Diceros bicornis minor: one gene and its partner. Each later gene encodes a partner of the first gene's protein in a complex. Links are inferred from orthologs where the notes say so. Each region holds a gene or a part of one and is shown on either strand. Other genes may lie near its edges.

Evidence for each region.
Region 2: the proteins of DDN (region 1) and MAGI2 are in contact, whole or in part, in a crystal structure (PDB 6KKG), measured with the Mus musculus proteins. The link is inferred for Diceros bicornis minor from reciprocal best matches to the Homo sapiens genes DDN and MAGI2. Residues at the interface, in NP_001013763.1 of Mus musculus: Asp222, Arg223, Pro224, Pro225, Pro226, Tyr227, Val228, Ala229, Pro230, Pro231, Ser232, Tyr233, His237, Arg238, Thr239, Leu240, Gly241; in NP_001164217.1 of Mus musculus: Glu308, Met309, Ala310, Tyr311, Thr312, Glu313, Gly315, Tyr318, Ile320, Asp321, His322, Lys325, Thr326, Thr327, Ser328, Trp329, Asp358, Tyr361, Tyr364, Val366, Asp367, His368, Arg371, Arg372, Thr373, Gln374, Phe375.

What each region holds. Positions count from the first base shown.
Region 1 is NC_080756.1:20,644,421-20,652,659, forward strand, and holds the start of DDN (dendrin), read left to right. Parts: upstream 1-4,715; coding exon 4,716-4,924; intron 4,925-5,333; coding exon 5,334-7,245; 3' UTR 7,246-8,239. Other genes in the region: PRKAG1 (5'-AMP-activated protein kinase subunit gamma-1), read left to right, coding at 1-67, 218-255, 526-672, 812-916. UniProt on the Homo sapiens protein: Promotes apoptosis of kidney glomerular podocytes. Podocytes are highly specialized cells essential to the ultrafiltration of blood, resulting in the extraction of urine and the retention of protein.
Region 2 is NC_080742.1:16,781,976-16,790,555, reverse strand, and holds the start of MAGI2 (membrane-associated guanylate kinase, WW and PDZ domain-containing protein 2), read left to right. Parts: upstream 1-5,363; 5' UTR 5,364-5,395; coding exon 5,396-5,453; intron 5,454-8,580. Other genes in the region: protein MEMO1-like, read right to left, coding at 587-1,480. UniProt on the Homo sapiens protein: Seems to act as a scaffold molecule at synaptic junctions by assembling neurotransmitter receptors and cell adhesion proteins. Plays a role in nerve growth factor (NGF)-induced recruitment of RAPGEF2 to late endosomes and neurite outgrowth.

The DNA of each region.
Region 1 (8,239 bases):
GTCTATGTGGCTCTGGGCATCTTTGTACAGCACCGAGTCTCAGCCCTGCCAGTGGTGGATGAGAAAGGTGAGAGATTGGGCAGAAGGAGAGGGAGGGCTCCAGGGAAGCCAGGGTGGCTCTGGGAAAATCGCTTAGCACAGCCCGGAGTGTGATTCTATGGGCAGAGGGAGCCTTGGATGCCAGATCCTCCTTGCTGAGCTGCCTCTGTCCCCCTAGGGCGTGTGGTGGACATCTACTCCAAGTTTGATGTTATCGTGAGTGATTGTGGAGGGGCTGGGAGGTAGGGAAACGGGCGGGGTGTTGAATGTGGAAAGGGAGAAGAAGAGAGTCTCTTCTGGGACCTATGGGTTTTAGAAGCCTCCAAGCTTTCAAATCCTATTTGAAAAGGAATTGAATGAGCTGGGTGGAGCTTGTGGGCATGGCTGACAACTGCCCTAAATCCCGCTGGTGAGGTTGGAGGGGTGCTCAGGGTTTGGGGGCTGGCTTCTTTGCTTCCCTGCAAGCACCTTCCTCTCTCTCTCCAGAATCTGGCAGCAGAAAAGACCTACAACAACCTAGATGTGTCTGTGACCAAAGCCCTGCAACATCGATCGCATTACTTTGAGGGTGTCCTCAAGTGCTACCTGCATGAGACTCTGGAGACCATAATCAACAGGCTGGTGGAAGCAGAGGTAGGGGGCCAGTGACCCAAGAGGAGCTGGGGGGAGCAGCCTTGAGAGTGGGGTTCGGCAAGGAGGGTAGGGGCGAAAAGGCTCACCCTAACTGAGGCTGGCACTAAACATCCCTTTCTCCCTTGTTGCTCTATGCCAGGTTCACCGACTTGTAGTGGTGGATGAGAATGATGTGGTCAAGGGAATTGTATCACTGTCTGACATCCTGCAGGCCCTGGTGCTCACAGGCGGAGAGAAGCCCTGAGCTGGGGCAAGGGGTCAGGCATCACCAGGGGCTGTGCCCCACTCACTGCCCGCCCGAGGCTCTGGGAGCCACAGATGAAACCTTGAGAGAATTGTGACTCTGTTCCCTGCTCTGCAGCCCCCTACCCTTCCACCTGGGAGCTGGGGAAGGTGTTGGGGGAGGAAGGAGAATGGATTTTTAGCTGTCCTTGTCCTCACACATACACTTGAGGAAAACTTTCAGCCTAGCCCATCCTAGCGTCTGTCCTCTTAGACATAGCCCCCTTTCTGGGTGAACTATGGGCTCTGTGCTCCTCAGGCAAATTCTGATCTCTAAGAGATCCCCAGACCTCACCCAGCCTTTGCCTGTATCTCTGCCCCTGACTCCACCCTAGATAATAGGACAACAAAACTCGAGATATTTTTATTCATCCTGTTTCATGCTGTATGAGGGGGCTGAGTCCATTTAGTGACATTTCTTCCCATAATGGGAGTGGGGAGGAGGGCCTTTGGGTCCCTGTGCTGTGTGCATATGAAGGGAGAAGGGGGTTAGGTGGAGGAGGAGGGCAGAGTGGTTAGCTGAGGTTATTGCTTCTCATGGCAAACCTAATTAAAATGACGGGAACCTCGTCATGGTATTGCAGTCTTTGATTTTTAGTTGATAGACACTACTGCTCCAGCCGTCCTAGTTCGTACAGCTTTTTCAACTCATCATTAATAACAATAATAATAGCTCACGGGGCCGGCCCGGTGGCGCAAGCGGTTAAGTGCGCGCGCTCCGCTGCGGCGGCCCGGGGTTCGCTGGTTCGGATCCCGGGCGCGCACCGACGCACTGCTTGGTAAGCCATGCTGTGGCGGCGTCCCATATAAAGTGGAGGAAGATGGGCACTGATGTTAGCCCAGGGCCGTCTTCCTCAGCGGAAAAAAAAAAAAAAAAAAAAAAAGAGGAAGATTGGCGGATGTTAGCTCAGGGCTGATCTCCTCACAAAAAAAAAAAATAATAGCTCACACACACATATATACAGCTGTGTGCCAGGCATGATTCTCAGTGCTTTACATATATTAATTCACTTAATCCTCAAAACAATAGTAGATACTATTCCAGTTTTGCAGATTTAAAAAAAGCTGAGGCTTAGAGAAGCTAAATAACTAGTCCGAGGCCACACGGCTAGTAAAAAGTAGAGCGAGGATTTGAACCCAAACAGTCTGGCTCCAGAGCTCATCTCTTTACCATTCACTAGACTTACCGTCTTTCTAATTCTCCGTTCATAACTGTTCCCCACCCAATTCCCTGCAATCCTCCTTATTACCTCACTTTCCCCTCTGCCTGGACCATAGCTGGGACCCAAGAAAAATCCAGTAATAGTGTTAGGTCTCCAGAAAGTAGACAGACTGAGGGTCTCCTTTAGGCAGGGAGACCTGCCACTACCATCAACTTTTCTTAGGAAAGGTTGGACTCTGGAGTTTGCTCAGCTGACACTGTCTTTGAGTCTACAAATCCTTTGCCTTTCTTCCAAGCTGAGAATGCGCTGGGAGGTGGGGAGCAGCAGGACCGTGGTCACCCCATCAGACCCTTTCCCTGTGCTGAAACCAAAACAGTAGTCGGCACCACAGACCATAAGGACTGCTAGTCGATGGGTATGAGCCAAATTCTGGGCACTGTCTCACCACTGCCTGGCGGGTATGATACCATTTCCTGTCCAGGACCTGAAGCACTTGCAGAGTAACTCCTTGCCCCTCCCTGTACTGCCCCTAAGAACTCTAATGAAACCAGCCATACTGTACTTGTTCCTCCAAACCAGGCTTCCTACTGGAACGGGGAAAGGTATCAAGGCACTCATCAGAGCTCAGCTCTCAGTGCTGCCTCATGGCCTTGGAGAAGCCCCTGCTCATGCAGTCACCTCTTTTCCAGCTCTCACAGCACATTCCCAGACTTGAGGGAGGGAGGCTTCCAAGTTATTAGAATGAGGGTATGTTTATGTGTGTGTGGGTGGGTGCATGGTGGAAGGGACAGATGTCTCCTTATGTCACATTCCATCATGAAGAGGGTTTGTCTAGGGAGGAGGCAAAGGCTTTAAAAAGCCTTAGGACTCTGGTGTGACCTGGGTGGAAGGAAGCACCTTCAAGCAAAGAGCCGTCAGTGCAGCTGGTAGGTGTATGGATTCAAGGGGGGTCAAGTGGATGGGATAGGGGACGTTTGGGTTCTCTCGAATGGCCCATGTTAGGGAGCAGGAGGCCTGGGTTTTGTTGTGGTTCTCAGTAAGTCAGTCTTTGCCCCACAACAACCCTCCTGGCCCCATCCCCTTAAAAGGAAATGTCTGTACCCAAAGGGCTGCATGTACTTTAGTGAGAAACAAATTAAGATCTCTTGCTTTTCCCATTTCTCCCTAAAACCCAACCAATCAGTCTCAGAGTCTGAGGATGGAGCAGAAGACAAGGGACAAAATTTGGGAGGCTTCTAGTCTTACTTATTCCTCTCAGGAGAGGCAAATTATCCCTTCTTCCTCAGAAACTATCACCATACACACTCCTTCCCCCACCTCCCCTCACTCCTCCCCTCCACTGGAGCTGCTGCCATGGTTGCCAGGCATGGTTGCTAAGTCTGCATGGAAGGGTTGGCGTGGGCTGTGCTGCCACTAACATTACCATGGTGAATCATGGGACACCTGGTATAGGCTTGGGGGGAGGGATCATGTGGATGTAAGCAACAACCCCCCAGGACAGAATGAGCCTAGAAGGTGAGCATCTCGAGCACCACTTCAGGTGGGGGCTGAGTGAGCCAAGCATTGTGATAGTGGGGACAGGTAGCTCTGCACTGGGAAATGGGGGCCACTTTTATCATTTCAGTTGCTAGGGGATTGGTTTTGCCAAGGGAGCACACCATTCCTTCTCCATCCCCTCTGAAAGGGTGCAAGTGCATAGCAGAGCTGTGTGGGCATAAAACAATATGACCCCAAAATCCTGGCTTCTGGATTGTTGGGGGGAGAGGGCTCCATGGGTGGTCAAGGACAAACATCTTAGAATGCAAGTGTGGGGCGGCTTTGATGGCCAAGACAGGATCCTGTGTCCCGCTGTACCAGCAGCCCTGGACTGCAACACTGAGAGGATAAGAAGTTGAGGGTGTAGGGGTCACCGTTGTTGAGGTTGAGGGAGGCAGCTCTCCCCCAGAGTCACACAAAAGCTGCGTGAAAGCCACCGCCTCCTCCCTCCACCGCATTCAAGCTGGTTACTCATCTCTCTGCACCCGAATGCCACTGCCGCTAAAAATAGCCCCCCACCCTGGGCCAGCCCCTCCTGCACCCCAACCCCATGGAAACCAGCAGACAGTGGCAGGCAGAGACCTTGAGTTCCATTCTCATCACCTCCCTGTCGGGGAAACTGAAGTCCGGGGCAGGAAGTCAGAGGCAGAACGCTGGTGGTCAGTCACCCTGACAGGCAAGAGAGTGAAGGGTTAAAACGGCAGGAAGGTTGAAGAAATTAGGATGGGGACCGGGGCACTATCAGCTTGGCAGGAATAAGAAGTCCCCTGCCCACTCGTGCAGGTCCCATCAGGCTTGGGGTACAAGAGCAGTGGGAAGGGGCCCCCAATCCCAGGCCCCAGGGGGCGGCCGTGCACACGGGGGAGGTAGCAGCGCCGAGCCGTCTGCGCCGTGTCACATGCGCGCGCGCGCACACACACAGACAGGCACACACGTGTGCCTGGGTATATATAGTCCCCAGTCACTGGGCCCGCCGCTCTGCAGTGGGCGCCAGCTCCCTGGGCTGGGAGGGGGCTTTCGGGGCGGGTGGGAGGGTGGGGGGCCGGGGTGGGGTGGGGCAGGATGCTGGATGGCCAGCTATTCTGCGAGGGGCCCGACAGCCCCGGGGAGCTCCAGGATGAAGAATCTGGCAGCTGCCTCTGGGTGCAGAAATCCAAGCTGCTGGTGATCCAAGTGAAGACTATTTCCTGTCATTATAGTCGCCGTGCCCCTCCTCGACAGCCCATGGACTACCAGGCCAGCTACTGGGCTCGAGGGCCCCAGAGCCGCACGTGAGTGAAGGACGGGTGAGGGGAATAGAGTGGTGGGGCGGGGAGTGGGGTCCAGACCTCCCCGCAGGCACCAGCCAGCGCTGCTGGTCCCCCTTCTCTTTCCCACGCTTCCCCCTCAATCCCGAGGGCTGGGGCCTGATTCACCCCGCGTTGTTTTGGGGGGACAGGAGTGGGCGTGAAAAAGGGCAGGAGGTGAGATGGGGCAGACGCTGTTAAAGTGTGCATGGAGAGATGGTGAGGAGTCCCGCTTCGACTTCAGCCCTAACATATACGCACGTGCACACGCGCACACACTCACACACACCCCTCCACACGGCTGCCCCAAATGGTCTCCAATGCTCCCAGCTCCCCGGACCTCGGCTCCCTTCCCCCACAAACTGCTCACCTGGGTTCCTGCTCATTGTCCCAGGTGTGGGCCGCGCCCGGGATCCCCTGAGCCGCTGCCCCGCCGGCCCTGGGCCTCCAGGGTGCTGCAGGAGGCGACCAACTGGCGGGCGGGGCCCCCGGCCGAGGTCCGAGCCCGGGAGCAAGAGAAAAGGAAAGCAGCATCGCAGGAGCGGGAGGCCAAGGAGACCGAGCGAAAAAGGCGCAAGGCTGGTGGGGCCCGAAGGAGCCCCCTGGGTCGGCCCCGCCCGGAACCTCGGAACGCCCCTCGGGTGGCCCAGCCTGCAGGGCTCCCAGCTCCCTCCCGGCCGGAGCGCCTGGGGCTGGTGGGGCGACCGCCCCGTCCATTCGCGCAGCCGCAGAGCGACCCAGGGGCGGCGTGGGCGAGGCCCTGGGGAGGTCGGCGGCCAGGCCCCCCCAGCTACGAGGCTCACCTGCTGCTGAGAGGCGCTGCCGGGGCAGCCCCGAGACGCCGCTGGGACCGGCCGCCACCCTACGTGGCTCCACCTTCTTACGAAGGCCCCCACAGGACCTTGGGGACCAAGCGAGGCTCCGAGCCCTCCCAGGTCCCCGCCTCGTCAGCCCCTGCTCCCACTCCAGCCAGGACAGAGGGAGGGTGCGCAAAGAAGAAGCTGGATCCTCGGATCTACCGGGACGTCCTTGGGGCTTGGGGTCTCCGACAGGGGCGAGGTCTTTTGGGAGGCTCCCCAGGCTGTGGAACAGCCAGGCCAAGGCTGGAGTCCGGCAAGGGGGCCGCGGAGAAAAGCCTGGGGCTGGCTGCTGCTGGCCTGAACAGTGGTAGCGACGGCCGTGCCCAAGCCAAAGCTGTTGGGAGCCCAGGCACGGAGACAGCTCCCGCGGGGCCTGCAGCTGCGACTCCCAGCCCCCCGCGTCCCGCTCCCAGGTCCAGGCCCCAGCTCAAGGGCTCCGGGGAAGGGAAAGAAGGTAGAGAACAGAGCTGGCTCCCCAAATGCTGGATTCCCTCCCTTAAAAAGCAGGCTCTCCGACATAGCCAGACCCTCCCCAGGCCCTGGGCTCCAGGAGGCACGGGATGGAGAGAGTCCCTGGGTCATAGAGAAGGGGCAGGACCCAAGACCTTGGAGGGTTGGAAAGTGACCCGCCGCGCCCACACCCTGCCCCGCAGTTCCCGAGGCCCCGCTCCTGGAGAAGGTGTCTTTGTCATTGACGCCACGTGCGTGGTGATACGGTCCCAGTATGTTCCGACCCCTCGTACTCAGCATGTGCAGCTTTTGTCCTCTGCGGTGCCGCGCGTTGTGGAGGATGCCCCCAGCCAACTGAAGCCCAAAAAGGAGGAGGGCGAGGCAACCGCGGGCTTTCCCTCCCCTCGCCAAAAGCTGCTGTTGAGCAGCCAACGCCTTTCACACCAGCCTGGTGGGGGGCGCGAGTTCGAAGCTGAGGGCGGGAAGCCTGCGGACTCCTCATTGGAAGAGCGCGCCTCCCGCATCTTGGGGCTCCCGGTGGACGAAGTAAACCTGCAGGACGCCCCCATGCAGCCAGGTAGCCCAGAGCACTCAGCCTTAGGCCCAGCAGCTTCGGGAGGCGCGGGCGGTGCCGAGGGCTCGCAGGAAGTGGCGGCGGTCCCGCTGCGCGCGGGCCGGGGCTGGGCGCGGACCCCGGGGCCCTACGCCGGGGCCCTGCGGGAAGCCGTGTCCCGCATCCGCCGCCACACCGCCCCGGACTCGGACTCGGACGAAGCTGCGGAGCTCAGCGTCCATAGCGGCTCTTCTGATGGAAGCGACACAGAAGCCTCGGGCGCCGCCTGGCGGAATGAGCAGACCTGGCCCCGGGAAGGTGGGAAGACAGAGCTGAGCGACAGTATCCGAGAGATTCTAGACGTCATCAGCCAAACCGGGGAGGCCCTCTTCGGGGCTAGGGACCCTAAAGGGACCCCGCAGGGAAATAGGGAGCGGCAGTGAGAGGCTTTTTCTTGTATTTGTGTTGCCCAACCCCTCCATCCTCGGGCCCACCGGTCCCCTTTCTTCTTCACAGACTTCCTTGTACCCCTTACTCATATCCGTTCCCATACTCGAAATAGAAGCCGCACAAACGAAAGGAAAGGGAGCATATGCCGATTCATGATTTTTTTTTTTTTCAGGAGAAGTGGGTGAGCAATAGACCTTAAGGCCTGCTCTGTTCCGGGCACTGGAGTAAGGTCTTCAGCAGAAGCTGATGCACCAGGTGTGCAGTTGAGCAGAGAGGCGTGGCCAGCATCAGGCAGGAGGGCAGGGATGCTATAGTCATAGGAGGGCAAGTTGAGGGCAGGGCCTCTGGGCAGGAGGGAGAAAGTGATGGAGAGGCTTTGGACTGAGGTAACCAGGTGACAGAGAAGCCCTTGGCAGAAGAGGAAAGCAGAAGCAACCAGAAAAGGAGGAAGAGGGCTCACTTTGGTGTCACAAGTGTTGGGCTCCAATCCCAACTCGAACACTGACTTGCTGGGTGACCTTAGGCAAGTCACTTCCCCTCTCCAGGACTCTTAGGATGTAAAATGAGGGAGTTCTAAGGTCCATCCCTGACGTTTTGGAGCCTTTGGAGAGGCTTTTTATTTCATCTTCCCTTCCACAAGCCGAGAAAGAGTTAGGAATAAGTGAACAGAGTCTGAGGGTTCCTGGTGGCTTCATTGTCACCTGCACTCATTCTCAATTCAAGACTGTCCAGGATTTGCACAAGAGCTGAGTGAGTGGACAAGGGCTCCTATCAGGTTTAGATGAGCGCTCCCCAAGGCAGGGCAGGATGGTGGCCTTGTCACTGTCCCTGGCCTGTAGCGGTCCGAGCTGGGGAGGGAAGGCAGCCAATGAATCAGCTTGGGACCTCTTTAGGCCTTCCCCTTTTTCTCCTCCTCAATGTTCCTTAGTGATGCTCTGAATCGTTACCACGATCTCCCACCCAGGTGGTATCACCCATCTGAAAGAA
Region 2 (8,580 bases), on another chromosome or scaffold:
AAGCCGTCTGGTCCTGGACTTTTATTTTTTATTTATTTATTTTTTTTTTTTGAGTTGTGTAGCCCTTTATTAGCAACTAAAATAGAAGGTATCTGTTGTACAACACGGGTAGTAATTGACTGTAACTGGTGATTTATCATATTCTAATACAGATCATTTATAAATGCAATTTCTTTATTAAAAAGCTTCCACCCTTTTTTGTTTGTTCGTGTACAATTTGCAAAACTATTCTGAAAGCGGAATATATTTGCACAAGTCTGCAAAGAGTGCAAATTTAGGATATTGTAAATGCTTTACCAGTTACTTTCAAAAAACTCTCTGCCACAACTGGGTCTTACCTTGCCATCTTTTTTGATCAATATATTTTGATGCCAGCCTTCCTTTCACTGCCCTAAACTATAAAGCATTTTTTAATGAGTTGAAATTAAGGAAGGACTACACCTACTAGAAAAGAAGAGAAGAAAGTTCTATTAGTTTGAGGTTTCAGAATCACTCCAAACCAGGACCGGTATCTTGGTAAGGGCTAGGCTGGGACCCCAGACAGAATATGAGTATGTGCAGGTGGCATCCCTGAGGATTCAGAGCTTCAGTGGACTGTGAGTGCTCCAGCTGCATAACTCACTGAACTGTCTTGCCAGTTTCTACACTGGCTTGACTGGGCATAATTCAAAAAGGAAAAGCTCATATTCATTCCATTCTTCTGGAGCTCTGTGATAGCATTTAATAACACCCCAATGGGATGTCTTCCACATAGAGTATTATGATACTTCTTCAAGTAATTGCTAAAAAATACAGGGTCTAATTGTTCTATAATACTCATACCCATTTTATCTAGATGTTCAATGGATCTATAAATCTCCCCCTGGGATTCATCATAGTAACTGTAACGGAACCTTTGACCCCAATGGCAGAAATCAGAAGAAACCACAAAGAGATTACTAGGATCCGCTAGATATTTACTGAAGAGTTTTCCGAATTCCTGTTCTTTTGACTCACTCAGAGCTCCAACCAGTACAGGAATAATGGTAAACTCATCTTTATGGCTTTCCATGGCTTTAGCTGTATAAGGCAAATGCATTTCAATACTGTGTTCATCTTCATCTGTCTGCAGAGACATGCGTTCAAACATTCCTGTCTTCCATAGTTCTCCGTAAATCCTTTGGTCAATACGAAGGTCATACAAAAGTGTCCTATATATATCCACACTGGAAAGTGCACATCGAGAGAGGGGCACATGATGAGAAGGCCCAAGGATGAAAATTCTCCGGGTAATAGATGGATCCACTTGTTTGTAAGCACGAGCAGCACAAGACCCACAGTAGGTATATCCTGCATGGGGTGCAACAATGGCTCGAGCAGGTCTTTTTGTAGACTGTACTTGTGAAAGCCAACCTTCTAGCTGTGCATTCAGCTGCGGTCCTGAGGCTGTGTACCAGCTCCCAGCGTGACTGGCTTCCTGGCAGACCACTCGGTTGGACATCTTGGTGCCTGTGCCGCCTATGGTGCGCGAGGATGAATGAGGAGGCGGCGGTGGCAGCTGCAGGAGCGGCTCCGCGAGGGGATGAGACACCGCGGGCCCAGGAGGAGGCGGCAGCGGGGAGGGGATCAGCCAGGCCCAGGAGGAGGAGATGGTAGTCGGGGCGGTGGCGGCGGCAGCAACAATCACCACAAACTACTGCGACCGCCGGAAGATGGGGCCCGCGGGCGGCTTCGCTGAAGCCCGGAAAGCCCTGGCCCCGGATCTCCGGCGTCGCCGCTGCTCCCCAGCCCGGACTGGTTCCGCCAGCCGCCCCCACGGCCCCCTCCCCGCCCCGTCCACCTCCCTGAGCCACCGCCGGTGACCCCACCCCCGTGACTCCACGCCCACCCCCTCGGGACTCCTGGACTTTCATTTTTGGGGAGGTTTTTGATTACTGTTTCGATCTCCTTACTGGTGATTGGTCTATTCAATTCTCTGCTTCTTCTTGATCCAGTTTTGGAAGGTTGTATGATTCTAAGAATTTATCCATTTCTTCCAGATTGTAGAATTGGTTGGCATATAGCTTTTCATAGTATTCTCTTATAATCTTTTGTATTTCTGAGGTGTCTGTTGTAATTTCTCCTCTTTCTTTTCTGATTTTACTTAGTTGTGCCTTCTGTCTTTTTTTCTTGGTGAGTCTAGCTAAACGTTTGTCAATTTCATTAATCTTTTCAAAGAACCAGCTCTTGGTTTTATTAATTTTTTCTGTTTTTTTTTGGTCTCTATTTCATTTATTTCTGCTCTGATTTTTATTATTTCCCTTCTTCTACTGATTTTGGGCTTGGTTTGTTCTTCTTTTTCCAGTTCCTTTAGGTGCATTGTTAGATTGTTTATTTGAGATTTTTCTTGTTTGTTGAGATAGGCCTGTATTCCTATAAACTTCCCTCTTAGAACCGCTTTTGCTGTATCCCATAAATTCTGGCATGTCGTATTTTCATTTTCATTTGTCTCCAGGTATTTTTTGATTTCTTCTTTGATATCTTCCTTGACCCAGTCATTGTTCAGTAGCATTTTGTTTAATCTCCACGTATTTGTGGCTTTTCTGATTTTCTTCCTATAGTTGATTTCTAGTTTCATACCGTTGTGGTCAGAAAAGATGCTTGGTATTATTTCAGTCTTCTTAAATTTATGGAGACTTGTTTTGTGGCCTAATATGTGATCAATCCTGGAGAATGTTCCATGTGCATTTGAAAAGAACGTGTATTCTTCAGTTTTTGGATGGAATGCTCTGTAGATATCTACTAGGTCCATCTGTTCTAGTGTGTCGTTTAAGGCCAATGTTTCCTTATTGATCTTCTGTTTGGATGATCTATCCGTTGGTGTAAGTGGAGTGTTAAAGTCCCCTACTATTATTGTGTTAGTCTATTTCCGTTTTTGTGTCTGTTAATAATTGCTTTATATATTTAGGTGCACCTACATTGGGTGTGTAGATATTTGCAAGCGTTATGTCCTCTTGTTGGATTGTTCCCTTGATCATTATGTAATGCCCTTCTTTGTCTCTTTTTACAGTTTTTGTTTTAAAGTCTATTTTGTCTGATATGAGTACTGCTACCCCAGCTTTCTTTTCATTGCTATTTGCATGGAGTATCTTTTTCCATCTCTTCACTTTCAGTTTGTGAGTGTCTTTAGGTCTGAAGTGTATCTCTTGTATGCAGCATATATATGGGTCTTGTTTTTTTATCCCATCAGCAACCCAATGCCTTTTAATTGGGGCATTTAGTCCATTGACGTTTAAAGTAGCTATTGATAAGTATGTACTTACTGCCATTTTTTAACTTTTTTTTTTTTCTCTCAGTGTTTTAGTAGTCCTTCTCTATTCCTTTCTTCTTCTATACAGAATTGATGGTCACTTTAGTTTGACCTCTGTCTGAAAGCTGTACTCTGTAACTCCCCTCCTCCCTCCTTTTATGTTTTTGATATCGTATGTAACCTCTTTTTTGTGCATTTGTATCCATTACGTTCTTATCATGGAAATAGATAATTTTTCCTATTTGTGGTCTTCTCTTTTCCCCTTAAATCAGTCCCTTTAACATTTCTTGTAGCACTGGTTTCTTGTTGACAAGCTCCTTTAATTTTTGCTTGTCTTGGAAATTTTTGATCTCTCCTTCCATTTTGAATGATAACCTTGCTGGGTAGAGTATTCTTGGCTGTAAGTTTTTTCCTTTTAATACTTTAAATATATCGTGCCACTCTCTTCTAGCCAGTAAGGTTTCTGCTGAGAAGTCAGCTGATAGCCTTATGGGGTTTCCTTTGTATGTAACTTGACTTTCTCTGGCAGCTTTTAGGATTCTCTCTTTATCTTTAATTCTGGACATTTTGATTATGATGTGTCTTGGTGTGGGCCTCTTTGGATTTATCTTGTTTGGGCCTCTCTGTGCTTCCTGTACCTGGATGTCGGTTTCCTTCCTAAGGTTAGGGAAGTTTTCATCTATTATTTCTTGAAATAGATTCTCTGCCCCCTTGTCTCGCTCTTCTCCTGCCAGGACACCTATAACACGGATGTTAGTGCACTTGATGTTGTCCCAGCGGTCCCTTAGACTGTCCGCACTCTTTTTAACTCTTTTCTTTTTTACCTGTTCAGCTTGGGTAATTTCTTCTAGTCTTTCGTCCAGCTCACAGATCCATTCTTCTGTATCCTCTACTCTGCTTTTGAGTCCCTCTAATGAATTTTTCATTTCCAGTATTGTATTCTTCATTTCTGATTGGTTCTTTTTTATATCTTCCATTTTTTTGTTGACATTCTCACTGAGTTCATCTATTCTTCTCCCCACATCAGTGAGCATCCTTAACACTCTTTGTTTGAACTCTCTGTCGGGTAGGTTGCTCATTTCTGTTTCACTTAGTTCCTTTTCTGGGGTTTTGTCCTGTTCCCTTACTTGGAATGTATTCTTTTGCCTCCTCATTTTGCCTCTTTCCCTGTGCTTGTGTCTACGTATTAGGTAGGCCAGCTACGTCTCCTGCTCTTGGATAGGTGACCTTATGTAAGTGATGCCTTAGGAGGCCTCCAGTGTCCTTCCCTCAGTTCTCAATGTTCCAGCGTTGATCCCTATGTGGGCTACATTTGGCCTTCTGTTGTGGCCTGTTTGCTCTCCCTGTAGGTGCCCAGGGAGGCCGAGTTAATGCTCCTGGCCAGCTGTTGTAATGCTCAGCTGCTTGTAGTTGTTGTGGGCCCTTCAGTGTCTTTACCAGGTGTGGGGAGCCCAAGCACAGTTGGCTGCAAGTTCTAATACCACATTTGTGTTGCAGTATTTCTTTTAAGTGAGTAGGCCCCCAGCGTGGCAGGTTGTTAGGCTCAGGGCCTTACAATTGCTGTAAGCCTCTAGCCTATTAGGTCTCTTGTCAGCTCTCTGAGGATTGCAGCTGGGTGGGGCTGGCCTCAGGCACAGGAGCACCCAATTGTTTCAGGCTTTGGAAGGTGGGGCAAACCCCCTATGTGGGTCTTTGAGCAGCACAAGTCTTCTGCAGCTGACAAGCCCTGCTGCCCACAGGTCCATACACACAGTCAACACATTCCTGCCCCGTGTGCGCGCCCCGACCTCCCCAAGCGGACCCAGTCTCTCCACGGCGGGAGCCCCACACACTCCGCCACCGCCCCACACTCTCCACCCGCTCCTTGTGCATGCCCTGCCCCGCTAAAGTCAGCTCAGTTGCCAGGCTGCAGAGAATCCAGTCACCAATCTATGCAGGCCCACAAGTTGCTTGAGGGCTTGTTGTTGGGTGGGGCCAGTCTGTAGGGTGGCTGCCCACCCTGGCTGAGCTGGATTAAATCGGTGGTCTAGCGGGTGGGGCAGACCCTGAGCTAGCAGGCCCCAGGGAGAACTCCAATGGCGTCTGTGTCAGCACGCCCACACTAGGGCACAACAATGGCTGCCGCCAATGTCCCAATCCCTGGAGAGGTCTCACCCCTCACCGAGATGCACTCAGGGCCTCTCAGGTGAGTCTCGTTTCACCGCAGCACTGTGCACCTTTCTTTCTGGTGATTTTAGGATGCTTTCTGAAACGGGTGACTTTGCGCGTGGGCCCTTTAAGAGCCAGTTTTAGTTTCTTTGTGAACCGGCTTTTCTGGGGGTACTCCCCAATGTTTTAGTAGCAGGCAAGTCAGATATTAAGCCACTCATCTCGATTGTGCTGGGTCCACGAAATCTCCACAGCGGGGGCGCTCCCCGACTCGGGGCCCCGCTCCTCCAGGGAGGGTGCGTACCTGTGAAGCTGGCGGCTTGTGAAGACGGCGTTTTTTCTCTCCAGAAGGGAGTTTCTGCCTCTTCTACCTCAGTTAGGATTGTCCGTTGTTGCAGGAGTTCCTCTTATCCAGTTTTCAGTTCTGTCTCAGGGGTAATTTTCCCACGAGTAGTTGTAAATTGGCTGTGTCCGCCGGAGGAGGTGAGTTCAGAGGCTGCCTACACCGCCATCTTGACTTCCTTCCATATGTTAAAATGGCATTTTATCTCAGTGGGAGAAGCATGAGGCCTTAAAATATTTTGTTGGAACAAATGAATAATCCTTTTTTTTAATGTTTAATTTTATTTATTTTTTCTTTTTTTGGGTAACATTGGTTTATAACATTATATAAATTTCAGGTGTACATCATTATATTTCATTTCTGTGTAGCTATGTCATGTTCACCACCCAAAGACTAATTACCATCCATCACCATACACCTGTGCCCTTTTGCCCTCCCCCCCCTTCCCCTTCCCCTCTGGTAACCACCAATCTAATCTTTGTATCTATGTGTTTGTTTGTTGTTGTTGTTATTGCTGTTTTTATCTTCTATTTATGAGTGAAATCATAAGGTATTTGACTTTCTCCGTCTGACTTATTTCACTTAGCATAATATTCTCAAGGTCCATCCATGTTGTCACAAATGGCAACTTGAAAAATTAAGACTACAGCTACCATATGATCCAGCTGTTCCACTTCTGGGTATTTATCCAAAGAACATGAAAACACTAATTTGAAAAGGTATTTGCACCCCTATATGTTCATTGAGTAACCATTTTTTAAAAATGAAATTAAAGTAGATCCCTATCTACTTTCTTACTCCACACCAAAATAAATTTTTGATGAATTAAAGATTTTACTGGAAAAAAATTAAAAAACACGAAGAACTAGAAAAAAAATACCTATGACTATAATATTGCAGTGGAAATGCCTCTCTTAAATTAACATAAACAGTCCAAAGGAAACTAGCTACCGATTTGACTACACAGAAGAGTAAACTTACAAATAACATGGTAGACAAAATTTAAAGTGAAACCATAATCAGGAGAAAATATTTAAGTGTATTTTTAATAGATAAGGCACTATTATGAATCAATATTAATTTTTAAAAAGCAGAACATGAACAAAGAGGTAAACAAGTTAAAAAAATACAAATGACTAATAAACATATATTTGCTTAACTGAACTCACAATAAATAATAATTGAATGAAAACAATGACATAACATTTTTGCACATTACATTGGCCAAAACATATGTTATCTCTAGTTTTGTCTGCTTCTCGTCTGTCTGTCTGTCTGTCTGTCACAGACATCTCAGTATTGTGACAGTGAAGTAGAACAGAAACTCTCTTACACTCTTGGCCTAAGTTTCATTAGTTTGCAGTATCTCTATAGGGCAGTTTGCTTATCCTTATCAAAAGACTTAGGATTTTGCCTTATCTTTGACCACACAATCCTACTTCTATGATTTATCCTAAGATAATTATCATAGAGGAGCATATATAAACCTAAAAAGAGTTTTTTTAATTAGTAGCAACTTTAATTTGTAACAAATGCGTTCAATAAATTGTGGTACAAACATACAATGGAATAATACACAACCGTTCAAAATGATGTTTCAAAGAAGGATCTATTACAAAAGAGAAAGAAGCAGTTTATAAAACCGCATATACAGTATAATATTCATGTAAAAAATGTTTACACATGTATGTGAAAGAGAAAAGTCTGGATGGACGTGTGCACAATTATTTATAGTGGTTAATTCATGATCTTTCTTTTTAAATTTTTTCTTAACCATATTTTCTAAATTTTCTAATTTTGGTATGTATTGTTTTTTGAAAGGGGATTTAAAAAGTTATTGAAAACATTGAATTTCAGTGGAATTTGATATTATTTTCTCTAAAGATAAATATATATCACTATTGGTGAGTCAAAGATCTCTAAGAATGCCCTTTGGCAGTTTTTTTTCATTTTCTCATTTTTTATCCTAGAACTTTATATCATACTCAATTTTTCTATTTTTTTGGATAACATATAAAAGCATTTTATTTTGCTCTCATCCTAAAATTGAACTTAATATACTATCTGACACCTAGATTTTTAAAACCATTTTTCACAAAATGGCACTAGTTTTACCTTTTAAACAGCAGAAATTGCTAAAGGGAAAACTTGCATTTAAATGTATTTACTGTTCAAATTTTTATTTGTCTAACTGTTCTCCCTTCACAGACGTATCTGGCATGCTGATATTTCCTCCAAAGAGTCAGAGAACGGAACTTTTTAAATATGCTCTCTTAAATTCTTTACTGAAATGGGAAAATAAACAAATGATTATTTAGAAGCCAGCAGCTTTAGACAGCACTTGCTTTTTCCATAACATTGCACAAACTGTGAAGGGAAATTAATTCTTCCTGCCCTCTCCCATCTCCTGGGCACATCCCAAGTTTATGTGTCCATTTACTCCATGGTCTCAAACACAGATCAGGCTCTGGCTTTCAGACAGGTGTGTGAGAAACCTTGATTATGGCATATGTCAAATATACTGGCTCAAGCCATCTTGGCAGCATTTGGAACAATATAAAAAAATTAGTTTTAGAAATTTAAGGAGGAATGAAAATTAACATTACAGTCCCAAAGTAGGACCTATTTAAGTAGCTTAACCAGTTCCTCAGCATTCTGAAGTTTTCTTCTCATCCTGCCCCACTGCCAAAGTGAGCTTTTATTACTTTTTACCTCAGCACTAACAACAGCAAAAATAATAAGAGCTAACGTTAATGTGGCTAATTATGGGTGATGTAAATGTGTTAAGTTCTTTATGCCTGGTGCCAGTTAGGATTAGTTT